Lytechinus pictus: one gene and its partners. The protein of the gene in region 4 binds, or shares a complex with, the protein of the main gene of each other region. Links are inferred from orthologs where the notes say so. Each region holds a gene or a part of one and is shown on either strand. Other genes may lie near its edges.

Evidence for each region.
Region 1: trafficking protein particle complex subunit 9-like (region 4) and trafficking protein particle complex subunit 12-like share a complex: the UniProt entries of both Homo sapiens proteins name them as parts of the multisubunit TRAPP (transport protein particle) complex. The link is inferred for Lytechinus pictus from reciprocal best matches to the Homo sapiens genes TRAPPC9 and TRAPPC12.
Region 2: trafficking protein particle complex subunit 9-like (region 4) and trafficking protein particle complex subunit 8-like share a complex: the UniProt entries of both Homo sapiens proteins name them as parts of the multisubunit TRAPP (transport protein particle) complex. The link is inferred for Lytechinus pictus from reciprocal best matches to the Homo sapiens genes TRAPPC9 and TRAPPC8.
Region 3: trafficking protein particle complex subunit 9-like (region 4) and trafficking protein particle complex subunit 11-like share a complex: the UniProt entries of both Homo sapiens proteins name them as parts of the multisubunit TRAPP (transport protein particle) complex. The link is inferred for Lytechinus pictus from reciprocal best matches to the Homo sapiens genes TRAPPC9 and TRAPPC11.

Annotation. Positions count from the first base shown.
Region 1 is NC_087261.1:4,625,816-4,633,565, forward strand, and holds the start of trafficking protein particle complex subunit 12-like, read right to left. Parts: upstream 3,018-7,750; 5' UTR 2,860-3,017; intron 1-2,859. UniProt on the Homo sapiens protein: Component of the TRAPP complex, which is involved in endoplasmic reticulum to Golgi apparatus trafficking at a very early stage.
Region 2 is NC_087246.1:37,676,257-37,683,266, forward strand, and holds the start of trafficking protein particle complex subunit 8-like, read right to left. Parts: upstream 3,019-7,010; 5' UTR 2,732-3,018; coding exon 2,569-2,731; intron 1-2,568. UniProt on the Homo sapiens protein: Plays a role in endoplasmic reticulum to Golgi apparatus trafficking at a very early stage. Maintains together with TBC1D14 the cycling pool of ATG9 required for initiation of autophagy. Involved in collagen secretion.
Region 3 is NC_087246.1:18,601,241-18,608,614, forward strand, and holds the start of trafficking protein particle complex subunit 11-like, read right to left. Parts: upstream 3,024-7,374; 5' UTR 2,948-3,023; intron 2,838-2,947; 5' UTR 2,815-2,837; coding exon 2,536-2,814; intron 1-2,535. UniProt on the Homo sapiens protein: Involved in endoplasmic reticulum to Golgi apparatus trafficking at a very early stage.
Region 4 is NC_087245.1:18,182,095-18,189,150, reverse strand, and holds the start of trafficking protein particle complex subunit 9-like, read right to left. Parts: upstream 3,017-7,056; 5' UTR 2,964-3,016; intron 1,253-2,963; 5' UTR 1,182-1,252; coding exon 586-1,181; intron 1-585. UniProt on the Homo sapiens protein: Functions as an activator of NF-kappa-B through increased phosphorylation of the IKK complex. May function in neuronal cells differentiation. May play a role in vesicular transport from endoplasmic reticulum to Golgi.

The DNA of each region.
Region 1 (7,750 bases), on a different chromosome or scaffold from region 4:
AGTCTCTTATTATCATGATTATAGCCTAGTTATAATATATGGCCGGTGGTTCGAGGCTCCATAGAGCTCTAAAGAAGTATATATGTCAAAATATTAAAAAATATCAGACATGGAGTCCTCAAGGCTAACACCAATCCCCAGCCACGCACAGATGCAGTTATTCTAGATCTAAAAAAAGTAACAATAACATTTCCTTTTTTTTTAGGGTCACCAGCATGTGTCATCAGGAGTTAGCAAGGCATACCAACTCCTCGCCGTAATGAAAAGAACCTTCACTCAACTCACAAGGACAACTCTGCCTCTGCTCTTCAAAACCCTAAGACCCCACCTTGAATATGGGAGTGTCCTCTGGCACAACAGATACAAAGAAGATGCAAGGAGGATTGAAAGGGTCCAAAGAAGGGCAACCAAGCTGGTTAGAGAGCTGAAGAACGTCCCATATAAAGACAGACTTACAAAATTGAACTTGTACTCCCTGCTGTACAGGAGAAGGGGAGACATGATCTTCGTGCACCAGCAGTAGAGGCACACGGCCAATACGGGAGACTGTCTCCCATGAGAGAGATTATCTCCAATATCAGAGACTTTTGTAAAGAATTTGGGTATCCAATTTCAGACAGTCTCCAGTTTGGGAGACCAATTTTCTTTGTTTATATTTGCTGCAAAAGGATTACCTTGGCGGCATATAAAAATGTGATAAGCAGATTCCTCATGAAAAATTACCCCTTTTCACCATCTAGGCCCTACTTTAAAAATTCACTGTCTACTAGTCTATTGTTTTTATGAGGACTTTTGTTGTCATCCACACACAAATGGGCTTCCGACCTCCGAGACAAATTTTGGGTGGAAAAAATGATGCTTTTGTTGGTGTTGTTTCTTTTGTTCTTTGCAAAGCAAGTCTCCAATGTGGGAGATTGTCTCCCTTATTGGAGTCTCCCAATATTGGCCATGCACCTCTACTGACCAGAGCTAGGACCTAGATCTTTTAGAAGTAGAAATCTTGGGGGTGAAAGTTTCAGGTTTTGGCTTCCTTTGTGTGGGTCTATGAGGTAGAAGTCCTGGCTTCGTATGAGAGTAACCTTACGTTAGTATTATGATTTTTACTCTCTGTTAGAAGCCGCCTGGCTAAGCCTAGGCTAAGGCTAAGCCAGACTCTGTGTCAAATGTCATTTCGGTAGACCTTGTCCTTGCCTTGGCTTCATCGAGGTACCGTAATTGCATAATTTATTTTTCCCCTTTTATTTTGAGTGCTATTGCGACCCCATTTTAAGCCATTTTGAAGAGTACCCTTGTACTTGTCTGCCTAGTTACACGGACGACTCCTGGGCTCCAGCCCGGTAAGGAGTAGACCAAAAGCTTCAGTCTCTGTAATTTGGTTGTTCCGCTGAACTACGTTGGCTCCACTCACCATACATAGACTGAAGGGGATGGGGCCCCGTACCTACAGCCAACGTATAGTGAACTAGCGTTTTATAGATCGCGATTTAAAACTGTTTTTTAAGCAAAATTGAAAGTTTCATGGTTTCCATTATCAGGGAAATATAAATAAATTAAGTAATTGCATACCTTGGGCCGGAGTTATTGAAAAAAATCCTCTGGATGATTGAGAAATCTGTCATCTAAGACATTTTCACCTGACCTGACCGTTTTTCTAGCAAGTTGCCATCTTGAATGACGTCATTATCGTTATTAACTTAATGTCTCGAATCGATATATCGCGATTATAACTAGTACTAGTACTAGTATAACTAGTATCGTTTATCTTCGGTTTCGTTTGCATATGGAGCAGATCGTATAATATCGAAAGCAATATCGATATCACATTCGTGATTGTTGACGTTCGTTTGTAAATATTTTATAGTTTGGCTGCCATTTTGACCATTTTTATCGTGTTCAACCCAATTAAACATCGGTAAAGTATATTTTTCATGCCTTTTTCATCTATATCGTTTAAAGTATTTAAATATTCGAATATCAAGGTCTAAAAGTTTGTTGTTTATACATCCTTAGATTGTAAATTCGATGTGTAAAATTACATCAAACTTTGGACTGTGAATTGACAAAAGGGAGGGAATGAGAACACATGCGAGCCCACACGTACACCCTACCGTCGGTAAATGGGGATTACAGTAAAATGTCAGAAATTGTTGAATAAATCCCCAGAAACGACGGTTATTCCTGTCTAGGTAAGGAGTAGACAGCTGGCAGCCGTCTGTTTCGAGGAGTTTTTTAACATTTTATTTTTTTTTAATTTCTCCTCATACACAGACGGCTCGCTAGCGTGCAGCCACCATTAGGGGACTTGCAATGCAAAATCCCCCCGTCGGGGCTCTTCAATTTTTGTCTTTAATGAGTAAAAATTTTGAAAATTCACGCGACCAAAATGCAAATTAATATTCCCTCTTGGCATCAATTGCCAAAAAACTGAGAAAAATCAAGTTAAAAGGAACAAAAACAGTGACTTACCTCGGCTGTCGCGCAAATTCACTTCCCCGTTTTATCCGATCTTAAGTACATAAACATATGGCCATTGAGTCCCCTGTACAGATCGCGCTAGAACTTCGGTCTCTGTATTTGGTGAGTGAAGCCAACGGAGTTCAGCTGAACAACCAACATAACACTTAACAGAGACCGAAGCTTTTGGTCTAGGTAAGGAGCTGCGCTGCGGGCGGGAGCGAGCTCCCTGGCCCTGGGCCGGGTTACCGGCAAGTGCCGCGGAGTGGTACGGTACCGGTACGTTAGGGTTAACTTAAGTTAGGCGTCCTTCACTCAGTTCAGTACAGTTTTGGGGAGTCATATTAAGTTACATGCGAGTGGGGTACGATAGATATAACTGTTACCATATTTGATTTGACTTACCAGCTCGTTTAAAGGGGTTATTTCAGTCTTTTAACGTTAATTATTACCGATTTAATTAGAATTTGGACCAAATCTCCGGATCTGCGTCGGGAGCAAGTATTGTTAACGTTCCAGCTATAGAATTGAATGCTGCCCTCTACCGGTACAACGTTCGCGTTAAAGGGGAATCCAGCCTTGGTCATAAAATGTTGTGTTGGAAAGAAGAAAATGAATAAAAAAGAACGGTGAAAGTTTGAAAGAAATCGGATAAGCAATAAGAAAGTTATGGCTGTTTTAAAATCGAGATCCCTATACTATGTAGATTTCAAATTGGCAAATGAGTAAGAAAATTATGACAAGGGGCAATGACAACTTTCTCATAGGCCATTGTACTTAATTATCAGGGATTTGCGGTTTTCTCCTAAGTACCCTTTCCCTTGGGGCAGTAATCTAAATATGACCCAGGTAGCATATTGTTTTATGTCCTCATGAAAGAAAATTACAATTTGAAGTATGACTTTTGAAAATAATGACATTTTAGCCATTTCGTGTATTTCAGTACATGGAAGAGTAGTCCTTGCCTTAAATCACTATGACATCATATATGCGGCCAATTTGAAGTCTCCATGGTATAGTGAATACCAATATTTACAGCTTTTAAATAATCATAGCTTTTTTATTGTTTGTCCAATATTATTCAAACTTTCACCTATCAGCTTGTCTGAATTTACTTTTTCCTCTAAAAACAAGTTTTCATTTGGGTTGGATTCCCCTTTAATACTTAGGCATCATATCACAGGCCTAATTCATTTCCCATAGACTCGTGTGTTAAAGTGGCACTTTAAAAAGCATTCTTAAAAAAATAAGGAGGAAATTCGAGGGTTAAATGTTTACTATCACTCGATAGGATAAATGTCTGACATTCCATATCTGACCAGAAAAGGGTACCTCGACCGGCTCATTTTAAAAATAAATCAGCATTTATGAAGACTACACCTGACGGGATCTCGACTCCACCGACAGGACCCGTAATTCTGGTACGGGTGTGGGAGGGGGCTCTTCTTCTTTGCCTGTCTCTCTTTCATTCATTTCAAATCAGTTTTTTCTATCTTATCACTTCTTGATCACATAAATCTCTCTCGCTGTTTACGGGTCAATATAACCCCAGAAAATATATCTTAGGCCACTGAGATATTGGAATTGTATAACTAATCTTTACAAAAAAATGCAGATTTTTTTGGTGCTTGGTACACTAGCTGAGAATTCAAAGTACCGAAAAACTTATTAAAACGTTATCCCCTCGTTTGTTAACAATTTTTTTTCGGCATTACTCCTATTTGTTTAAGATCAGTATGCTCGATCTGTAAATGAAAATCATAAGATCAGTATGCTCGATCTGTAATGAAAATCATATGATCATAAGTCAGAAAAAATTGGAACCAGTGGGATTCGAACCTGCCATCTACTGCTTTCCGGGCAGCGACTCAACCACCAGGCTATTCTGGTTCACGGCTAAGCCACGATGAACTGGAATTCAAATACCCTCGATCCTCTTCTTTCTGACTCATTAATATTCAAATACCGTCCGCCGTGGACAATAGATAGTAAATTAAGAGGCTTTTTTATAGGAGGAAATTATAATTTGTTAACAAATTTTCGGCATTACTCCTATTTGTTTAAGATCAGTATGCTCGATCTGTAAATGAAAATCATAAGATCAGTATGAAAATCATATGATCATAAGTCAGAAAAAATTGGAACCAGTGGGATTCGAACCTGCCATCTACTGCTTTCCGGGCAGCGACTCAACCACCAGGCTATTCTGGTTCACGGCTAAGCCACGATGAACTGGAATTCAAATACCCTCGATCCTCTTCTTTCTGACTCATTAATATTCATTAATATTCAAATGCCGAAAATTTGTTAACAAATTATAATTTCCTCCTATAAAAAGCCTCTTAATTTACTAGTTATCCCCTCGTGTTATAATGTTTTTATTTTATATAATATCTCATAGATCGTCGATCAACAAACTTGTCGTTTTCGGGAAGTAATCCCCCTATTGTTTGTTGATATCTTATACCTCAGTTATTTTTTGTTTCACATGTATTTATTTTTTTAATAGAAAAACAAGAATAACTGGATATGAGAAGTCAATTTTCACCAACTTGCCCCACTGCCTCCTTAAACTTATTGAAACTTATTGAAGCATGAAGGAAGCTGACAAAATTAGAAGATAGACCTGGAAGCTCGACTGCTAATTCAGCATTCTTCCAGTATTTGCGGTAAGGTAAGGTAAGGTAAGGTAAGAATGAATATAAAAGAAATTAAAAAATATAAATATAATGATACTAAATAAATTGTCACCCTAATTTTCTTACAGTGGGTGGCATAAATAGTCAATATCATGACGTATTGCCCATAAAAACAAGCAATGGAATGAATGTCATCATAGAGATATACACTAATAACTACTCTATAATCTCTATGGGTCAAATTCATCACTTGAGAGAGTAAAATGGCCCTAATTCTTCCGCCAGCAAAAATAGTTGGTAGTGATATATCTTTCCAATTTGGAAAAAGCAAGTTCAGTAGGTACCCTCCCTAGAATCAGTGTTAGATTGTCAATCATATTCATTCATTTTCGTCAATCAGCAATATCAAATTAAAAAATTTATTGAGAATGGGTTGGGTCGAATGAACATTTTTTGCCTGCCGGTTGTAATTTGATATGAAATTTTGATTTGATTGAAATTTTGCAAGAAAACGACAATTTTGTCGGATATTTCATGTCCCGCAAAACCTCGTCATCTAGGGCACGAGTGACGACATAAAATCACAGTGCTATGATGGTTGCAGGCTGAAGATAAAGAAATAGGCCTAAACCATAATATTTTCCACATCCTACAAGAAAAGCTCTCAATTTTTTTTTGTAACAAACCCAGGTCGTACCTGTATTCAGAGTCATTTCCCAACGTACATGTGTATTTGAAGAGCTCACTTGCAAAAGAAGTTAGGTCAATTTTTCATCAAATTTTATTTTTTGGTCTCAATATATAGATTTTTAGTAGCTATATACATGTAAGATGATACCAAAGAAAATTCCCATCAAAAAGTGAACTAAAATGGCAAAGAAAAATCACTTTTTTTCAAAAGGGGTTAGGTCCATTTCAGTTTGGTTGCAAAAGGGGTTAGGTCGATCCACACAGATTTTTTCATTGGAAAAGAATATTTTAAAAACTATGAAGACAGGTAGATATTTCTTGTTACACCCAATTTTACATTCTCATGGTAGGGTATCATGAAAATTTAGTTTCGCATAAGATAAAAAAAAACGATTTCCTTGGAGTGGACTCCCTTTTGCATGTTTTGCAACCAAATTCTTTTGAAGAGCTCATTTCTCAAAAGGGGTTAGTTCCATTTTTCATAAATCTTATTGTTTTCTGTCTCAAAACCTCTAAATTTTTAGTCGCTATGATGATACCAAAGAAAATTTGAAATTCACATGAAAACGTGAATAAAAGCGGCAAAGAAACATATATTTTGTAATAAAAAAGGTTATGGATTCATTTCAGTTTGCTTGCAAAAGGGGTTAGGTCCGCAATGATATTTAAAAAAAAACATATAGAAAAATTTGAAGACGTGCAGGTATACCCAATTAACGATAGGGTAGTACATCTTTACAATTTTGTTTCTCATAAGAATATTGCGATAAGTGAGAATAAAAACGTGGCTTTTCTCGGAGTCTAACCCCTTTTGCAACCAAACTCTTCATTTGAGTTTTTTCAGACGTGTATATCAGTATCAATCGGATATTAGGCCTATTTACGTCTGGGACCTTTAACGTCGCCATCCGAAAGACGTGACCGGGGCTCGAACCTCTGCATCAATATTTGTAACTTCCCCACATACAGTAAATGATATAGCTTGGATTAAAGGCGCATGCCACAACGCCCAGTTAAAGGTCAAGTCCAGTCCAGAAAAATGATGATTTGAATAAATAGAGACAAATCCAACGAGCAAAACGCTAAAAATTTCATCAAAATCGGATGTTACATGCACATCTCAGTGACATGCAAATGAGACAGTCGATGACGTCCATCACTCACTATTTCTTTTGTTTTTTATTCTTTGAATTATACAATATTTTATTTTTTACAGATTTGACAAAAGAGACCAACTTGACTGAACCATATGGTATTATAAAATGTTAATTCCACATGTTCAGGGAGGAATTAATCTTTGTTTGACAATGAGGAGAAAATTTGAATATTTCATATTTCATATAATAAAATACAAAAAAATAGTGAGTGGATGACATCATCAGTCTCCTCATTTGCATACTGACCAGGATGTACATATAATTGTTTTGTGAAATTAAGCAAAATTTTAAAATGTCATAACTTTCTTATTTTACACCCAATTTAGATGAAATTTTCAGTGTTATGCTTGTTGAAATTTTCTCTTTTTATTCAAATCAACTAATGGTGGGGTGGACTCGTCCTTTAAAGGAGAATGAAACCCTTGAAACCAGCTGAATCCATATCAAAGAGAAAAATCAAAGAAACATATTGTTGAAAGTTTGAGGAAGATTGAATGAATAATAAGAAAGTTATGAGCATTCGAATATTGAGATCACTAGTGCCATGTAGATCCTCCCAACGGCAATGCGACCAAGATCTGTGATATCACACACGTACAACTCCCTCATTACTTTAGTACTTATTTCACTTATATTCTCACTTTTATAGAGTCTCTATCACAAGGTGAGGTGTTCTCTTTATGAGATGACAAGTACAGAGGTTTCACAACATTATATCATTGATGAATCGTTTGTCATATGATTAGAATGAGCAAAAAAAGATGTTTTGGGGTATATTTTCGGTGTCCAAATGGGAGAGTTGTACGTGTG
Region 2 (7,010 bases), on a different chromosome or scaffold from region 4:
GAAGTTCACCCTGAAAAAAAATATCAGTGAAGGTTCGAGGAAAATCCATCAAAGATCAAGAAAAGTAATATTAGAATTTTGAGTTTTTGATATGTGATGTCATAAGCGAGCAACTGCCCCAATGTTATAATATAAATATGCATCTTAGTTCTTATATCTAGATCTACACTAAATTGTCAATTTTCTTAAGTTTTTAATGTTTTGTGACTTCTTTTTCTTTCAGCAGCAGGTGTGAAATAATTTCCCTATTGATATAGATTTAAGGAATAATAAAAACAATTTTTAATCTTTTTTAGAAAATGAAATTTCATTGATTTTCAGTTTTAGTTTTACCAATTTTTTAGATCTAGATCTAGACCTCTACTAGACTATATCTATATCATGATCATAATTTAGATCTAGGGTCTGAATCTGAATGGTTGGGTCAGTAAAATGTCTTTGACGAACACATCGACACCAACTTGTTGAGAATAGCGCACTGTTTGGAACAACTTTTTTCTATGGCTGTTTGCATAGACTCACTTAGGTCCAACCTTTTTAGGCCTAACTTCAGTAGAGGCGCTGGTCCAAAAATTGGGACTGGGGTTTCCAGTATCTGCAGCTGATGAATCTGTGTACATCCTGACAGACATAATGCCTTAAGTGAAGTTAAGTCTTCTGGTTATGAAAAAGAAGCTCTTGCTTTTAGGACAGATCCTGAACGTTGCCCCTGATAGAACAGAATGAAGGCTATTTCTTCATAGCATCTGTGCCAAACACCCCTTCAGTTCAACAATGGTGCCTTGTTCTCAGGATGCTTAATCTTCCTCCGTTAGATGAGCTTTTGGTAAAAACCTCCAACCTAAAGCCTTTGGTAACACATGGTGGTGTTAGCAGTGACTAGAACATCAGAGTCCAGGCAAAGTGAGGCTCTCTCTGTAAGAAAAGTTCACTCTCATTATGAACCAGAAGACCAAAGCCTAAGGCTACTGACTTGTATCCTGGACATATAGCTAATCCCACCCTGAGACCAGCTATCACCATCAGAGCCTAGATCTCATGCAAAGTTTAGGCCAGACTTGTCAGAATTAGAAAGGGTTCTGATGACATCTGTCAACCATGTTCCTAAATAGAGAAGATGTTGAACACTGTCTCATCCTGTCCGGCCACTGCACCTGTGCCCCGTGACCTCATCAATCGCATTAAGGACAACGACAATACCGCACAATTTGCAGGTTTATTTGAGGCAGACCCCCAGTCCTTTCTAGAATGTATCATCCTCTTTCTTCCCCCTGTACGCATCAGCAGTGCCAGTAAAACCTAGCTCCACACTCTTATTTTATACTTCATTCGCAATCTTCACACAACTCACCAAAACCTTCTCAGCAACCTAACTCTAGCAACCCATAGGAAGCGTCTTCAGTCATTTTTTTTTACTGTTATCAGCGATCTCCGACATTAACGGAGGAAGGAAACAAGAGATTGTCCCGGAAAAAAAAAAGGATATCCTCAAAAACCAAGACAAATCATGTCTTGATAAATTGAGATTGTCCTTGTTTATTATGGGGACAGTTTTTTTTTTCACTTACCCCTGTGGGACACAGATGGCAATTACGGGGATTGAGAGTGCTAAAAATAGATTCAGTGACCTCAATAACCCCTAGATCACTGTCTATTTTTCACGACTTGCCATCTTCCAAGTTCCAATAATCTTGTTATGAAACCTAATGAGTTTACATTGACTAGCGCACTCAATTGATGTCAGCACTTGACAGGTGAATGAAATTTTCCTAGATTTCTTGTGTGGAGAAATCTCTGAAAACTAAGACAAGAGAAGAGTGAGACAGTCCCTGAAAACTGGGACGATCCCAATTTTCTGACCAGCGCCTCTACTGAACAGAACTTAAGCAGTTGGACTCTGTCATGATGTCACAAAATGACAAATCAAAATATCAATTATCAGTAGAGGCGCACGGCCAATATTGGAGACTGTCTCCAATGTGGGAGATTATCTCCAATATCAGAGACTTTTGTAAAGAATTTGGGTATCCAATTTCAGAGACAGTCTCCAGTTTTGGAGACCTATTTCTTTGTTTGCATTTGCTGCAAAAGGATTACCTTGGCGGCAAATAAAAATGTGATAAGCAGATTCCTCGTGAAAATTACCCCTTTTCACCGTCTACTTTAAAAATTCACCGTCTACTTTTGTTTTGATAAGGATTTTTGTTGTCAATCACACACAAAACAAATGGGCTTCTGACCTCAGTGAAACAAAATTTTGGGTGGAAAAAATCATGCTTTTGTTGGTGTTGTTTCTTTTGTCCTTTTGCAAAGCAAGTCTCCAATGTGAATGTGGGAGATTGTCTCCCCTATTGGAGAGAGAGTCTCCCATATTGGCCGTGCGCCTCTACTGATTATCATAATTCTAACTTTGGATTTTCCTAAAACCTTCACCGATATTTCATTTATACAAATTTTTGTCAGGGACAGGGTGATTTTCACAATGTTAATCATATTCATAATTCATTTCACTTTTTTGTTTTTTTCAATTTAGGCCTAGATCTAATTCATCATGAACAGGAGGAATACCTTCTGAAGTTAGTCTGCAAAATGGCCTGACCATTTCCACAAAAGATAAATTGTTCTTTTGTGCAAGAACTTCTGCATCATGACTGCATGCAACTGCCACAGTTGGTCCAAAAGTGTTCTGAATAAACTCCCTGGCACTTTGCGAGCACTGCGCCATTCTCATTGAATCCGGCGTCTGATCCCGAGACAAACACAAAACTCAAACTACACTGCACAGCTTCTTCTTGTCCTCCTTGCTTTGAAAGTCAACATATAAATTATGATAATCACCACATGTTATCACATATCCGTCTGATATCATCAAGCCTAGCAATCTCAGCTCTCCCAGAGCCAGTATTTTCCCCTTTCCCTTTTTTTGCACAAGTTCAGGCTCAGCTATGCCTATGATCATCCGATGAAACAGGCAGTCGCCATTATTTTGCACTAGCATACGCCACACTTCGCTACGCCAACGGGTGAGGATAGGAAACACCACATAAAAGAATGTAAAATAGGGAACCAGCGAAAAAAAAGTTAGAAACGAACGAGATGGCGCTTTTGAGTTTTGTTTCAAGTTCCGTTACAGTCACTGAGATTCTAATGCCACTGATTGCCCATTGCCTAATTAAAATTAGACAGATATTCATTCGTATATTATTGATGAGATGTTGATACACTAAATACATGTATGTTTATGTTTATGACGAGGTCTGGGGTCAAATTTTGAAGAAAACATGGACCAATGGGAACCAATTAGCAGATATCATCGCTCCAATTAAGGGGGGCGGGGCAGATTAGTCCACTGTTTTCGGCTGCTCAAGATCTTGGTTGGGGTATTTCGAAGTCCTAAAGACTTGAACATGATGATAACGTTTTCTCTATTTCATCCTCCCTTAATTTTATGTTAGTTTTTTTTTGTTTTTTGCCCCTCATCCCCTGTCCATTGCGGTGATAAGGCTAGGGTTGCAATATTCCAGCTATATAGGGTTGAAGTTTGTCATCCATAGTGTTTGAAATTTACAGCGGAGCCGGGGCAAATGTCATATAGAATTATGGAACCACTATGCGATCCGATGCGACGCGATTTTTTTTCAATAAATTGAATTTTGCATTAAATGTGACATTTCCAAGAAGCAAAATTATTTTACTTGAAATTCGTCATAATGTTAGGAATTATAAAATCATAATTTTGCTATGCGGCAAGCCCTGTGTTCGGAGTTTTGTCCAACTTCGGCTCCAAGTCGGAGGCGATGATGACGTCATTGCGATTTGAAATTGATTTTGCTTTATACCTACGGGGAGGCTCGATCGAACTTGACTGAATTCCGATTTCCTATCACAATTCTGAATTCTGATTGTTAAGATTATATTGGTTGGAATGTTCATATCAAGACTGTTATTGCAATTTCTTTGAAATTCGGATCGCAACGAATCGCATAGTGGGCTTTATTCATCCTTTAATTGCCATTCATTTTTTTTATCATTTCACGTGTTCCCCTCTCTCTCCCGCTCTCGATCCCGCCTATAGCATATCATGTTTTAAGGGCCTATTTTCTCATTTTCTTTCAGTACCTTTTCTTTCCAATGTTCCTTCACTTTCCTTCATTCCCCCATTCTTCCGGTTTCCTGCCGCCTCCCCCCTCTTTTTTCCTCCTACCCCCCCCCCCCCCCCGCGGCTCTCTCCCTCTCTCTCTCCCTCTCTTTTATTAGCCCTACTTTTTTTCCTTTCACCCTTTCAGAGTCCTTTTTCATTAGTCTGCCCTGAGTAGGCATACTTTTCATTTTCTCCGAGTCTAATTTCCCTTTAACTGGTGAATTTGAAAAATTCTAAATGAAAATCCCTCAGGGGCAGTAAATTGTCCATGTCCCCTCCAACGTGGGATGTTGCTATACGCTACTGATAATAACAGGGTATATTGCAGAAAGTGCTTACCAATGCATTCTACAAATAAAATTACATTCATGATTATAAAATTATGGTTACCGAAAATTATATGTGTGTGTGCGTAGGGAGGGGGGTGAGGTGGGTTTGTGAGTGAAATAACCCCAAAAATCGAATTCAAAAGAGAGAAACAAAAAAAGCTCTTGAAATGTTAAAAAGGGCCTACTAGCGTACCTAAGGGGGGGCAGGGGGCAAACTGCCCCCCCCCCTGACGAGTCACAGGCAAAAAATAAAAAATAAAGCGAAAAAAGGGAAAGAAAAGAGAAAAAAGGAAAGAGAGAAACAAGGGGGAAGGGGCAAAAGAAGAAAGAGTTTCAGAGAAAGGGAAAACAAACACTGGACTGCATGCAGACTGTCGGGAAAAAATGATAAACTCACGACGTCGCCAATTTCGTCGTGAATTTGTTTTGCTTGCCTGGGCGGTATGCGGGTTGAAACCAATTCGTCTGCTGCTAATTCCTCCACTCACAACAGGGTCTACCTTCATTTAGTCTAATGCAATTTTGTCCATCAACTTTTCGCCTAACAACCATATGGTCCAATAACCATTTGGTCCATGTCATCACTTCGTCTAATCACCACTTCGTCTATAACCATATTTCGTCTCATGATAACTAGCTGGTCTAATATCAATTTTATTTTCCTTAATTTCGCCCAATTAACTCTTAGTCCAATTAGACCAAATGGCATATGGACTAAATGGCAATTGGTCCAACTGGTTATTAGGCGAAATGGCAGTTAGACTATGTGGATAGTGGACGAATTGATGGTAGACCTAATGATAGCAGACGATCGAGTTGGCATTAGATCAATTGAAAATAAACCATTGAAACGACAGAACGATGTCCACTGCTATCCATATGCATAGGCGGATCCAGGGGGGCCCAGGGGCCCAGGCCCCTCCCCCTACTGGCGGAGCAAAAAAAAGGGGAAAAGGGAAGAAAGAATTAAAAAAAGAGGAGGGAAAAGAGAGGAGATAAAAAAGAAGAGGAGGAAGACGAGTGAATAAAATAAGATGAGGGGAAGACGTGGAAATAAAAAGAATCTTTCATGCCACTATATAAAATTTTCGCTTGCGCTTCACGCTCGCATTGCCTGTTAGGTGATTTTCATATCTTGTTCCAGGGGCTGATCCAGCCTTCGCCAATAGGGGGGGGGGGGCGGAATTAAATTGTGAGGTGGATAATAATAATAATAATGGATATTTAGAGGCGCTAAAAACAAAAAGTACCATAGCGCGTACAATATATGAATAATAATTTAACATTTGCAATAATTACTACAATATTCAAGATAAAAAGGGAAAGTAATTATTGAGGAAAAAGGATATGGATCGCACTTAATAAAGAGTTGATATTTTTCATTATAATTACTTTGAGTTTTGACATAGGACCGGCACATCCTTACACTGCTAGAAAATTTGAATAAAAGAAGTTCCTGCAGCAGAGTCTCGAGAACACCTGTAATCTTACCAGATTGCGTAATCTTACAGGAAATTGGTATTTGGTGTATGGAACTTTACAAATTTCCTTAAATAAAACAGCCTTTTCCCCTTTTTAAACAGACCTGTTCTATTAAATTGCAGAAAAAATCCTGTTTTATGAATTTACGGAATGATTCTGTTATTGCTTTTGCAAAATCTTCTGTTTTTTCTGTAAAATCAGGGCTTTTTTTTAACAGTGTAGGACATGTCATCATATGAAAATGATGACTGTCTTCCTATTACTCTTGCTAAGCGCGAGATGAAACAAAAGGGACAATTCAATTATTAAATTAATATTTTATTCATTAATGCCTAATGAGGGCGCGAAGTCTGATGATATTATGGCCTGAAAACTGGACATTTGAAGCACTTTTGTAACTATAAATAGGATGCATCAGTCAATATATTTCTAACCATTAATGCGAGCGCAAATTGCGAGCCTTAATTGTCATGAAAAGGGGAATGTACATGTATAATCAATATTGAGACATACATTCAAAATGCGAGCGTGCAGCGCTAGCTGATACGTTTTGACAATCAGACCTGAAAAGGGATATTTTGAAAACTTTATGGAATACACGAAAATAATAGGTACCTGATGAATCGAAATTTGCGAGCGCGCAGCGCTAGCAGAAAATATTAATATTCAGACCATAAAACTGTCATATTTACAGAGCACTTTTTAAAAATCAATATGTAAATCACGCAAAAAGATGAAAGTTTGATTCTCGAGATGAAATACGTTTTGTATATTGACTTCCAAACTTGATATTTAAACTCCGTATTGAACAAGATATGAAAATCCCCGAACAGGCAATACGAGCGCGAAGCGCGAGCGAAAATTTTATATAGTGACATGAAAGATTCTTTTTATTTCCATGTCTTCCCCTCATCTTATTTTATTCACTCGTCTTCCTCCTCTACTTTTTTCTCCTCTCTTTTCCCTCCTTTTTTTTTATTTATTTCATCCTTTTTCCCTGTTTTTTGCTCCGCCAATAGGGGGGGGGGGGGGCTGTGCCCCTCGGCCCCCCTGGATCC
Region 3 (7,374 bases), on a different chromosome or scaffold from region 4:
AGATAGGGCACGTTACGTACGTAACGTAATAAGGGTATCAAAAACACTAAAATAATGAAAAAAGGTTATCTATTTTAAAGGGAAAGCTACGTGTTTAGGGTCAAATTTGCGAGGGTATAAAAAATTAAGAATTAAATGTTTTATAAAAGATGTACTTTTTGCCCCAAGCGTCAACACTACCTGTTTAGAGTACGATTTATGCGAGGTGTGGGAGGTGGGGCTGTACTACATGTACTAAACCCAATGATGTATAGGTAAAGGTAAAACCGACGACAGACGTCCGCGACATACAATTGAAATAAACTGTACTTGTTTAGGGGTTCAATTCACGGAATACTTGCCAATAGTATCGTTTTGTTTCCAATACTTATTAAGGGTAGGATTTCACACGCCAATACTTGTTAGTGGGTGCATTTTCAGAATATGGAAAATACGTGTTTAGGGTGCTTTTCGAGACCCCATGGTCGCGCATGGTATCCACTTGTCAATGGAAGTGCCCCCCCCCCCCCCCCGGAGTAGTTCCTGTTTAAGGAATACTAAGTTCACAGCATTTTTTTCATACATGTGTTAGATTAACCCAGCGAGCTCCGGCCCGCGAAGCCAGCCTGAGCTCCCTGGGTTAGTGTTAGATGTGTAGAACATAAATACTGACCTGAGACAAATGATAAAATGATAGTTTCAAAGAATATACTGTATAATAGGAAATTAGGAATACAGAAAAATTATACGTTGGTTATACTTTCAGTATTAAAATTTGAAATTTAAAAAGCAGGTGAGCAAACTATTTACTAAGCAATAAAGAAATTCAATTTTAAAGTTGGATCAATTCAACATCAACACCTCTTCCATGACAATCATACAGTTTACACCAAGAATTTAAAAGAACTCATCAGACAGATCTTTCCAAAAGAGATTTTAATAAAGTATAAACAACAACTTTCTCTCTCTTTAGTACTCAGTTCTACTATACTCTGCTGAAATTTGTATGCTAATAGAATCCTTTTAATAGCTTTTAAAGACATTACTTTCTGTAGAGTAGTCTAAATCATCACTATCACTAAGGTAAAAAAGAAAAAGAGTTACTTAATATTGAAGATGAAAATTAGAACACTATGATACAATGTTGATTCGTAAAGAGTACATCATCCTTCTATTCTTTTTTTTTTTTCAACTGCTCTAAAATGCATGTAGCTATTTGATTATTGTCATTGTGAAACACGCCATCATTTTTAGTATTATTGAATGATTTGCCAAATAATCTGAAAAGTACAATCACAATATCATGCCTTACACATATTCCTGATAGAGATATATATCAGTTAATCAATTTACAAATGATACAAAGTGTACAATTTTAAGTAATTAAAGGCCTATACAATTATTGATGTGATTGAAGTATATTAATCTCAGGCAGTTGGCAATGTTCAATTCATTTATTAAGATCTATTTTCGTACTCATATGCATGGCATTGAGACAAGTGAATTTCCTGCTTTTGAGCTCTGCATAAAGGAAACACATACCTGTATGATGGGGTGTCCAAACTTCGCGCACTTTTCAAAAATATTTATCAGGCTTAAATTTGTTCACAAAATATTCATAATTTATACAAAACCAATTCAAGAAATAGTTACCACATTTACGGCAAGATCGTAAACTGTAAAATCATGGACGAAAATGTAAAGTAGGTCAAGGGGATTCGCCAGTATCGCGATCTCAAAATTCTATTCCGATCGGCGAATGAGCGCTGTGCTGGAAAACCGTTCAGAAAAAGTGTGACCTAACTTCGCGGACCAAAGTTTTTGTGGACATTTAAACAAAAACTCAAGCTCAAAAAATGAAATATTTATATCAGATTGACGGCAAATTGCTATAGAATCGGTTAGTACCACATTTAACTCACATTTTTGATAATTTCTGCTTGCAAAATGGTGATATCGTGATGCTTGTTGAAAATATCAGATTTCTTCAAAACGGGCGCCAACAGTGACAAATTTGCCGATCTTTTGCCAATATTTTCATGAATACTGAACTCATCCTAAAGAAACTTACACCAAAGGGTAATTTTAGGTCGCTTTTCACGTTGATGATGTCAGATTTTAAGAATATTGGCTAGTTTTTTAGATAATGACCGTCCGCGAAGTATGGACACGCGCGAAGTTTGGACTCACTGTCATACTACAAGCAAAGACAATTCCTGTGCATGCGAATCCATACATGTTTTGTCATTTTTCATGTACTTTTGTACAGATTTCTTTCTCACTTTATTCAGGGAAAAAAAAAATTTGGATCACGATTTGAGGGGAGCGAACAGAAAAACGAAGATCCATCGAATTGAGGTAGTTGCTTACTTTCCTCTTTCATTTTTTTGGGGGGGATCCGGGACATATCGATTGATGATGTTCGGCCTAGGGCCATGATTTGTGGTTGCATTTGCCTCTGTTTAACTTTGACTCCGAGTTTGAGTTTAACTTGTTTGAGTGGTCGGATTCAGGTCGGATTCTGGGACTGGGTTACCAAAAAGCGAGTGGGCCTACCTTTGACCGACACTTTGGATATTCATGGTCAGCTGGTAGTGATTTGAAATTCAGTGGTACTCTATCTGGTCTACGGTTGGCGCTAAACGAATCCCAAATTGCTCTGTGAATGGCGTTATACGTCACGTCCAATCCAGTCAGCACAACAAGCCCCAACGGCCTGGAGGTGATCTCCGCCGACAGATTCCCGGGACCGGGAGATGGTCGTCCGATGGGCGACGTAGAACTTGAAGTGGGCTGCACATCTGCAGCGACAGCTGCGGCATCGGGTTCGGTCATTTCTACAAGCCAGTCTAAGGAAACTAAAGTGGAAAAGGGATAAAATCATATGCAAAATTGTGATAAAATATAAACAATTCATCATGAACTTTATACAAATTGAAATAAAGAACAAAAACGAAAAGGTACACACCTACTTTCCTTGATCAGCAAAACAGTCGTCAGTTGACGTCGTAGATGGCGTGTGTGCGTTGTTTATTTACTACTCTGGTTGGATATTATTTTTTGTCATATATTTTGGGGTGGGGCGGGGGTAGGCAACCTCGCCCCTGCTCATTTAATTATCATTTTATAGGCAGAGGTATTGATTCCTTTTGATCATACAGATTGCTTCGTTGCAAATGAATGTTGTGTATTAATTTCCCCAAATAATACGTTTTTTGTTCATGATTTTTATATCCCAGTTTTTAAACTGTCACTTCTACTCTTAAGGGTATCAAAATTAAAATGCTACAAGGTCTGATAATTAAAAAAAAATGATTATTTAAGCAAGTCCAGACCTTATCTGATTAATAAATAGGTCCCAGATATCCTCCACATCAACATGTCATTATAGTCTCCACCCACTTCGTCCAATTGATCATCCCTTGTCTAATCCTACTTCATTCCAAACCAGTTTGGTCTCATCCCACATATCATATTCGCTCAAAAGTTTGTCTACTCTACGCATTTAGTCCAAATGCCATATAGCCTATCACGATTTTAAATTTTGTCTATTTCCAGTAAGGCTAAGCCCATTCCATCCACTTGATATATTCACGTATTATAATGTGCCAATTAATCATTTAATTTCTTGGATTTAATTACTTTTAAAAACTTTCAGAAAAAATCATCTACCTAAAGGACCAATTCCCAAATAGTGGCATTTTCAACAATTATCAAGACATCACTTTTTATCATTGTCTCCATCTTTGCTTTCTCCTTTAATTTTTATTCATTTCACCAAACCTAAATTACTGCAGGATATTTGCTTATCATATGCAAAAGTATTATGAAATATGATATCACTTCACATTGGTGGCAGCGGTGGGATCAATACACAGCAAAACTGTACATGTGGTGCTTACCAGTGTATAATGAGAACCATACAAGTAATATTACTCCAGTCTGAGGGCAATGTTCAAACAATCAGGGTCCCGTCTTACAAAGACTTGCGATTGATCCGATCAATCACAACTATGGAAAGCCAGCAACGTCAACATGTAAAATACATTTTTGTTCAAAATATTTTCTAGAAATGACTTATATTCATACACTGTTTTCTTGACAATTCAGTGTGCTTCTTTTAGTTTTCAAAGGACATTGATGAAATTTCCCAAAGAAAAAAATTATGACATTGATGGATTTCCATATACTTGAGATTGATTGGATCAATCATAACTCTTTGTAAGACGGGGCCCTGGTGTAGGACTTTAATACCTCAGGGTATGGTCCTCTGGGGACAAGAACAAGTGTCTGTTGTTTCAATCCCACTTTTTTTACAGTGTATACAATAATGATAAGCCCATTAAACTCATGGGGATGTTTAAATGATATGCTGCTAAAGAAATAAGGATAAACAAAAATTTTTAAATATTTTTTTTCAGAAATAAATGGGAAATGGGCAATAGCATTTAACTCAAAGCACAATTTGATGTATACTACAGAGCAAAAAAACCCTGTTCAGATACCATGTCTTATACTTCCATTCAGCATCACCAATCAAACACAATTACTCTTATACGCCATTCATCTCCAAGTTAATATAAACAATCTTTTCCAATGCAACAACACCAAACATTCCCTCAATTTCCTTTTTTTCCTACAGTTAATTTTTTTTTATAGAAAAGTCAAAGGGGAGACGTCACTCAAAACAAAATTAGGTTTCCATAAATGTCTTTATAAAGCAATACATGCTAATTTCCACAAACCATTATTCTCTATTTCTTAGACAAGAATATAAGTAAATAACATTTGCCAAGTAATGACATCATGAAGGCAGCAACTCTAAAAGAAAGAAAAAAACATTACACAATTGCAATAAAATGTAAATTCATGTAGTCATTTCTACATAATATAAAATTTTGAAAAATATCATTTGACCTGTCAAATATTAAAAGACCATAATGGTATACACAAACCATACTCTTGATTGGGTTTTCAAATAATCAAAGATGGCAAAAAAAATGATTTCTTAAAATATATAGGAAATGGAACCAAAATTACTTCATGAAATATTTCTCTAAAAAGTTTTCTAAAACATTTCACAATTAATTCATAAAAACGTGTGATTAACATGAAATTAAAATTACTAAGCCGCATTTGGAGGAGTCATAGATAAAAAGTATCGAAGCTTGAAAACACAGGATTTCCTTATATTCTTTTCAAATTCTGGTTTGTATACTATAAATAATATGAATTTACAAGGAAATATTCATACAGAAATACATAGGTTTCAGATCAACTGAACTCCAAGTATGGGTGAAAATACATTTCCATACTAAATTAATACAAATAATACTTTTAGTTTTTGTACACTTACATCTCTAATGAGAAATACAAAATGAGATAAACCATATAAAACCATATAAACTCAAATTTTATAAATGTTATTGAATTAATCACTAATAATATAAAATATATCAGGATAGTTGAACCTCTATTGCAAAGATAATTCAGCAAATCAACCATAAACTAAACTAAAATTCTGCAGTATGTAGTACACTATTCAGAAAATATTTGTTGCACATAAAGTACTAATTTGTCACCTGAATTTATATTGCATGGATAACAAATGATAGATTAAGATGAACAAAACACATTGTATTATTGTTCAATCACAAAACATATTCTTGCAGAATTAGTCTGAGGTCTGTTTTATGAAATCACAAACAAGACTGCCATAATAAACTATTATTGATAATTAGAACCAATGATTTTGGTGGACTGATCGGGCCATAAAAAAAAGTTAGGGTGGAGCCTTGCGCAAAGTCTTGGAAAAAAGAAAAAGAAGGGTCAACTTTTGGGGGTAATTACAGCTTATTTTTAAAAAGTCAACAAGGCCTATAAAAAATTAACTTATTTTGGCAGTGAAATTGAAATTGTGTAACAAACAAGAAGTACTATGTTGCAATAATCTTTTAATCACACACATCCAACATTGAGAGTTGTTTATATTGTTACTATTATTATCATTATTGATCATTTGAAAAGATAATTTCTCATGAAGACATACCGGTACATATCAAACTTGGCCAAATAAGTAGAAACCTAAATCACACAATTGTTTGAGTAGTTTGAGGTAATTCTGTCTACATTTTTGTAATATTTACATAATATCGATCTAGTCTTCACATATTTCTTCAGTACAATGCAATCCGATACCACTCATTGCGTTTTTCAACCTTAATAAATTTTATCCTTGGAAGCTCAATCTAAATTCTAAAAATCAAATATTGCATGCTCTTGTAACAAAAAAAAGTCAGGCACATCTAATACAATTATTTTCACAGCTACAAACATACATACACATACTGTATAAAAATAAATGCTGGAATATTTTTAAACACTGGAAATAACTTATCAATTCACTTTTAACATACCATTCTAAATGAACAGGCTAAATAAGAACAACAACCTTAGGCTTAGCTTGAATGTGCATCCACTCAAAGAAAAATTATACGATTGACTTTTTTCTTTCAATAAAGTGTGTATGAATTAAAAGGGAATCCAACTACAATTGAAAGCCGTATAAAAAACGAAAATCAAAGGTGTAATTAGAACCCCACCCCCTCCAAACAAAATCTGGCCAAAGATGTAATGAATTTCTAAAAGAATACAAGAAGTGGTAAAATCTATGGCCACACAGGTAATGTAATATGATGGGTAAACTGCCAATTGGTGAACAACCATTTTGTTTATTGCCCATGTGATCTTATCTCAGATGGTCTTACTCTCATCCTCCTTCATCTACAACAAATTCACCAAATAACCTTTCAGTATATTTGCCACTCTATATTCTGTTTACCATTTTGTCTTATCCCAAGTGGGTGTTTCATAAAGCTGTTCGTAAGTTAAGAACGACTTTAAGAATGACTGGTGATCCTTTCTTGTGGTAAATGGTATATTCATTGGCGATGGTTAAGTGCATAAGAAAGGATCACTGGTCGTTCTTAAAGTTGCTCTTAACTTACAAACAGCTTTATGAAACGCCCCCCCCCCCCCACCCCCCGTTTTAGCTTTACCCATATATCACTTGGTTAGTCTATATGGTTAGACAAACTGCTCATTTACCAAATTTTCATTTGAGAAAGTATAAAATAATAAGAAACAAAGTGGAAATTCAACCAACTGGGCATGTGCAAATTAGACTAGTGGGTATTGGACCAAGCGAAATGCAGACTAAATGGCAATAAGCCCAAATTGATGGTAGATCAAATGAAATGAATTAATGACCAAAATATGAAAAAAAAACAAGATCAAGTCTTCACAAAAATCTGGGCCCCATTTCATAAAGAGTTACAACTGTTGAAACTTTGCCATTATGGCAACTACCATGGCAACCTTGATTCTGATTGACGC
Region 4 (7,056 bases):
TCGCCGCCGCCGCCGCCGCCGTCGCCGCCGCCGTCGGAAAAGCGGCGCCTATAGTCTCACTCTGCTATGCAGGTGAGACAAAAATTGTGGTTAAGAAGAAGTTGTCAAGATTACAGCCTACATGTATGTCTATTTTTTTCAATAGCTCAGATTAGAGTACATGTACAAGCAATAATTTCATAAAAATAAATTTCTTGCACTTCAGCATTTTGGAAACCATATCTCATTAGAGCATGATGAAAAATAGTAACAGTCCAAATTTGGTGGAAAGCGGTTCATGTAGGCCCTGATATGTTGCCACACGAATACCTTCTTTAGCCCAATTGAAATCAGTGTCAATTTGCCAAGGGAGGACCATAATGCTCTATTAAGATATGAACAGCGTTATGAAATGGCTAGACCCAGGTTCCAAAAATTTATTATACAGGGCGTTCAATAGGGCTAAATAGGCATTCAAGCTGCATGAGCTTGAGCCATCATGGGCCAAATAATGTCCGATTTGGTCTGTGGAAATTTTTCATCATGTGCTATCGGAATATGTTCACAAGGAAAATACAGAAAATGTAGAAGTACAAGCATCATTACCTTGTCTCCGTATCAATGCCAACAATATCCTTCCGCTCGAATGGTGCCATTAAGAGAGGGAGCTTGTCATTTCTGCTGGTATTTGTTTTATCAAGACGCTTGGATTCCAACACCCAGAACAGCGCTGAAGCAAATTCTTTGACATCATCCTCCAATTGATCACAGTCTTCCATACTCTTGTAATACACAGCATCAGGTCTGACTCCAGACGCACTCTCCTGCACCGTCTCCTCTGACATCCCAAAAACAAAACACCTAGAGTCAAATAGCGTGCTCCGAAAAGTTTCCTTCATTGTGTCAAAGTTTGCATACACGGTGGCGAGTTCAATCTCCGACGATGCCTTTCCCAAGCAGATGAGGCCGGCGACACGTCGATGGACCTGGAAGTCGCCCCACTCATTGTTTTCTAAGTGGACAAGACGCTTGTATCTGAGCCAGATGCCACGTTTGTTGTCGGGCACCCGCACATACGAAACACTGGTGATGCGGTTGATGATCCTGGAAAATGCCTGGACTTTGACTGCTCCCACTGGTTTCACTGTCACAAGAAAAGCCTGATGGTCCTCAGGGGTTTGAGTGTAGTCAGCAATACTCATGATGGTAAAAGAAATTTCACAAGTTCAGGGACAATTCATCTCCATGTCTTCAATCGAAGAAGAATCATTTCCTTTAAAAATAATTGAGAGGAAAAAAAATACAATTAAACACATTAAACCAAAATCACAAAGGTTGTTTTGAAAACGTGGTCAACAAAGATGGTCGATACAGATTTCAACTGTATTTCTGGTGTATAGGACACACCTTTTCCCTTATTTAAAAAAACAGAAAAAGTCAGGTGTGCCTTCAGGGACTCAATTTTAAGGGGAGCGAGAGCAATCACTCGCTACCATTCACCTTAATCCCTTTCAGGTTGAGCAATTTTTCGCTCGCCTAAGCTAATTGTGACTTATAAAATAAAAGCAAATTGATGATTGTTATTTGCTTTTATTTCGAAAGTGTTGTTATTTGGGTCAATCCACGTCAAATCAACAAATTTTTAGACAATTTGTCACCCGACCCCCTTCGATTTTCTTTAAACTCTCACCAAATGTTCCCCAAGTGTCTGACGGAAAAAACTGAAATATTTTGCCCCAAGGTCAAACAGTTGCTGAGATATGGCCTCCCTTAGCAACCAATGCGTGGCCAAACAATAAAGTTTAAATAAAATTAGCTATTTTTGATTGACTGCTGGAGCCAAGTTTGATGACGCAGTGTTCTCTGTAAATTGGAAGAACTTTATAGTCTTAATACACACAATATAATATGACGTGGATCTGACCAGCCGTTATTGCGCACAAGGTCGCCGAAAATGGTGTTAAGTGTCCAAGTCAATGTTTTTGGGTGCATGTTTGGAGGCTCATAACTTCCAAATCCAATTAGCTTAGAACCCAATATTATGCATATTTGAAGAGTATGACTTGCTCAACAGACCTACAAAAAATTGGCCCTACCATGCGCGTCGATTTCTTGTAGGGCGCCCTCAAAGTTGGATTTTTTCTAAAAGTTGCCAAGTTCAAGGTCACGAATCAACCCTCATCCCATCCAGGACCAGGGGGGCGTTTCATCAATATTTTCGTCCGACAAGTTGTCAGATCTGACAACTTTCCTGGATTCTGATTGGTTGAGAAGCACTATTACTATAGTAACTGTCGGATAAAATAGGACTTGTCGGATAAAACGTCTGACAGGTCCTTTCATGAAACGCTCCCCTGGTCTTTAAAAAAATACCGACAACCTACCCTGGAAATGGAAATAACAAAGCCAAAGCCAAGGTATGAAATTCAGGTAAATTCCATATTTCTGTTATTTATTTGAAGAAACTCTCCAAACGGGTTGAATACTAGTATCCTTACGGTACTTTCACTCCCCAGACGCCTCCAGGCTAATTCAACACCAAGGCAGCATTCAACACGAACTGCCAGAAATACGTCATATTTTCCGAGGTCAATCCCAGACCCAACACCAGCCTGATTTCAAGTACGGTGTTGTGGCTGGTGCATGGTGTTGTCACAACACCAACACCAGATTTCAACACCGTACTTGAAATCACCCATTGTGTAACATTCACATTGTCATTAAGACATTAGGATCGATGCAAACGACTCAAACTGAGTCAGACAGAGTCGAGTCAGTCAGACTCAGAGGTGACAGAGCAGACTATAAAAAAAAGACGCAAAATAGTAACTTCCATATTTTGTCATTAAATTCCCTGTGTTCACCGCTGAGATTGACATTAGTGTATGGACTTTTGTAATAGACCAGGTATGTGGGTTGCTTATATTCACTACACACAACGTGAAAATAAAAAGAAAGTGCGATTTATTAATGAATTTACTCACTGGAAATAAGAAGAACTCGATCACGGCAATTATACACTCCCACGATTGAAGTTACCGATCAAAACTTCAATTACTGAGATTTTCAGAAGATCATGGTAGCTACTATGGTACAAATACTCAGTGAACCAATCATCCACAAGAGTAAACAAAAGACATCAATTGGACTGCACACTAAACTGACTAAATAGTATTCAAGTATTCATAGTCATTTATATTCATATTGTTCACTGGAAGAAAAATCATGAACTTCGTTCCCGAACCATACTCTACCAAATTCCTCCTTTATTTAGCTTAAATTTGACCGGAAAGTACATACCAGCCTGGCCCTCGATCTTCAAAAAGGAAATTTCTTTAATTTTTACCTTTTTTGGCTCTGGATGTGTACAGTGCAGTATCTCCTGAAATTTCAAATAAAAACCCAACAAAAATGATTCAAATGTATGATTTTTTTTTAATATCTATCTTTCTTAACCACATGGGAGCAACCTCGATAGATCTTTGACCTTTGTTGCTCCCCGACATTCTAGACATATAATATATTTTTTTTTCTGTATTGTATTGGGGGTATATTGTTAACTTTGCTTTTTATTCTTTTGTATTCTGACGTTATGTCATTTTCCTCTGTAATGGTGCCTTTGACATATTTGTATTAAATGTGGAAATAAATTTCATGAACTTATGAACTATCAAGAAGCATATCACCGATGATTCCATCAAATCGAATTATGCGTATCAGCATGGCCTGTATATATGCCCCTTAATATTTACTAGGCCCTTTTCCTTTTGTATTTTTTAATACGAAATAGAAGTATTCCTGCAAATGTGCAACGTGATCTAAAATTTTGCTCGTGGAACATTTAAAAGTTAAATGGGTACTCCAGACTGAAAGAATTCTGAAAATAGTGAATTTTGAATTGTTCTGCTTTAGATATAATATATAAGCTAAAGAAACTCGGATCGAGCTAATAAATCTGAAAACGAAAGCCATTTTCCTGAAAATGAGTCAGTCACTTGAAAAGGATATAACCTGACTATAGGCCGAGAGAGGCATGATGAATCAATGACGGGCCGAAGGGGGAAGGAGAAGAACATGGAAATGGAAAAGGAAAATAAAATAAAGGAAGAAAGAATAAAAAAAGGAAGGGTTGACAAAATGAGAATTGATGTAAGTGCTTTCTACATCCAATACATAAACCTTGAATTAGAACAGCCTCATGAAAATGTGCCCCCCCCCCCTTTGGAAAATCTTGCCCCGCCCACGATACAAAAATGACTAGATTATGAAGGACAATGATAAGACGACTGCGGCCCCCTATTTGCGGTGAATAACTGAGAAAATCGGAAGAGGAGAGAATAGAAATTGTGCCTCTCAAAATGAGGGAGGCACGGGCCGGCTGTGCCCCGGCCCCCCTCCTCCCGTGGATCCGCCAGTGTTCTAGATTCAACATTTTTTTTTAGGGGGAATATATTCCTTCCCTTTTGAAAGTGAGGACCTTTTTTTTTTTGCTTGTCAAATTTTCGAAATGTATCAAATTTTTCCTCGGGATAATGTGACACACCCCTTCAAAAATCCTGGATCCGCCCCTGATCTAGAAACTTCTTTAAAAGTTCTTGCCCCGCCCACGGTACAAAGTACTAGATTATTTACAAAAATGTAACGTTTTCACAAAAATGTCAAACATTGATAGACATGAAGCTTCTAGTATGTTTTTATCTTACAGTATGATTTTTTTTCTATTCTGTAAAAGAATGCGAGGAAAGGATTCGTGTACAAAATCTTTATTGTATCTACCTCCAAAATTTTCGATGAAAAAAGGAAACGACTAATTCCTTTAGGTTGATGGAATTCTAAAAGATATGGAAGAGAATTCTTGGAGGATGATTCTTACCCCTTGAGACGCGTACGCAGGGGGAGGTAACAGGTGTCAAACCCCTACTCAGATTTTTTGAAAACTTTTTTCTTTTGTTGCTTGTAAAATTGTCATCGGGTGGAAACCCTTCTCTCTCTTTTTTTTTGCTTGTCAAATTTTCATTCTACTCGAACCCCTCTTCAAAAATCCTGCGTATACGCTACTGCTTACCCCTTCACTTAGATTCCGTGAAAGGTGCGGATTTCCAGGGGAACATGGAAAAGAGATCCCTTCTATTGAGTCCGAAATTGGCACTTCCCTCCCTGTTTAAGAGAAGAACCTAATTCCCTTTTTTAAGTGATAAATGTTTGTAATAATCGTTTATTTGGAAATACTATTTTTCTTCTGTTTTAAGCTTTTGACCATCAATTAAAAAAAAATCAACTATACCCCACTATTGTTGAGTGACGTTAAGGTAAATCAGGACCAGCTTTTAGAAATCACCGATCCGCCCCTGTTCAGCGAGCTTGGCGGGGAGGTGTGACGTAAGTGGTTTAGGTCATGGGGCAGAGGCCGCGGAACAGTTTTCAAAGTGGGGGGGGGGGGGGGGGGCTGAGCCAAAAGTGGGGGGCTGATCATGCTAAAAATCACAATCATAATTATGGTCATTTTTACTTTTTGTACAGTTTTGGAAAAAAGTGGGGCCCCCAGCCCCCCCCCCCGGCCCCTGTGGGGGTGGAGAGAAAGAGTAGGAAATATGGATAGTGTAATGCTATCATTCAAGTGAGAACAAGTGAGAGAAAAAATATGACTTTGTGTCGTCTTGCTTCCTATTAATATATCATTATGCCGCCTCTTTTCAATGACTATATGAAAAGCATAATAGCCATATTCTTTAAAATCGGATGTAAAGTAAGACAATTGTATCACGTCATTACAAATTTTCACTGACATGTATGTGCACAGCACAGTGATATAATTCCAGTGGAAGAGAATATATTTTTACAGAAAACTCTCCATTGAATCCCAATAGGATACAGCATGAATGCCACATCCATCACAAGTTCAGGGAGGTATCAAACTGTTTCACTTCATTATTTTGCAAAGCAATCACACAAATTTCTTATTTTTACATCCAATTATGATAAATATTTCATTATATGTTTGGGGTAGACTTCACCTTGAGGGGGAATCCAATCCAAATAAAAACATGTTTTTTTAGAGAAAAAAGAAAAATCAGACAAGTTCGGACAAATAATAAGAAAGTTATGAATATTTAGAAGTTGTAAAACTTGGTAATCACTATACCCATGGAGACTTCAAATTGGTCGCATGTGTGATGTCATAGTGATGTAAGTCAAAGGACTACTCTTCCATGTACTCCGATACATAAAATAGCTAAAATGTTTTTTTTCTTCAAAAGATTTACTTCAAATTCTATCTTTGTTCCATGATGACATAAAATAATATACTTCATGTGTTATATTTAGATTACTGCCCCAGGGAAATGGGTACTAAAGCAAAAACCACACTGTAAAAAACATTGGGTAAAATTTTTACCACTACGAGGGTAATTGTGTTCAACCAATTTGGGGCAGTATTTTACCCAATGCGGGAAGCATATTGTCCAGTAAGGTTAACAAGTAAGCAGCAATTACTTTAGAATGGGTAAAATATTCATCACACTTGATAAATAAAAATGCCCAATGTTGGTTGGACACATAATTACCCTCTCATGGAGCACTTTACCCAAAATTTTGTAGAGTGCACAAATCCCTGATAACCAAGTTCTCTACCTCTGGGAAATTGTCCTTGCACCTTGTCACAATTTACTTACCCAGTTACCAATTTGAAATCTACACTCTTAGGGATCCCAAGTTTAAAACAGCCATAACTTTCTTATTGCTTGTCCGATTTCTTTCAAACATTCACCATTCTATTTTTATTTTTCTCCTTTCCAACACAACATTTTATGACTAATGCTGGATGATTGAGGAATGAAATTATCACAACTGAAATTCGGGGGAGAAATTCGTACTGAAAGGAAATAAAGAGGACAGCTTATCACACAAAACGCACATATTTGATAATAAACCAGAGCGAGGAGAGGAAGAGAGAGAATGGTTCCCTTGTCAAATTAAAGGGCAGGGGAATAGGACCTCTCATGATGAAAATTTTTCGGTGACAGAATCGTGCTTGAAAATGGGTGCCTTTAAAGTGGACCACCATATCAATATTTTTTT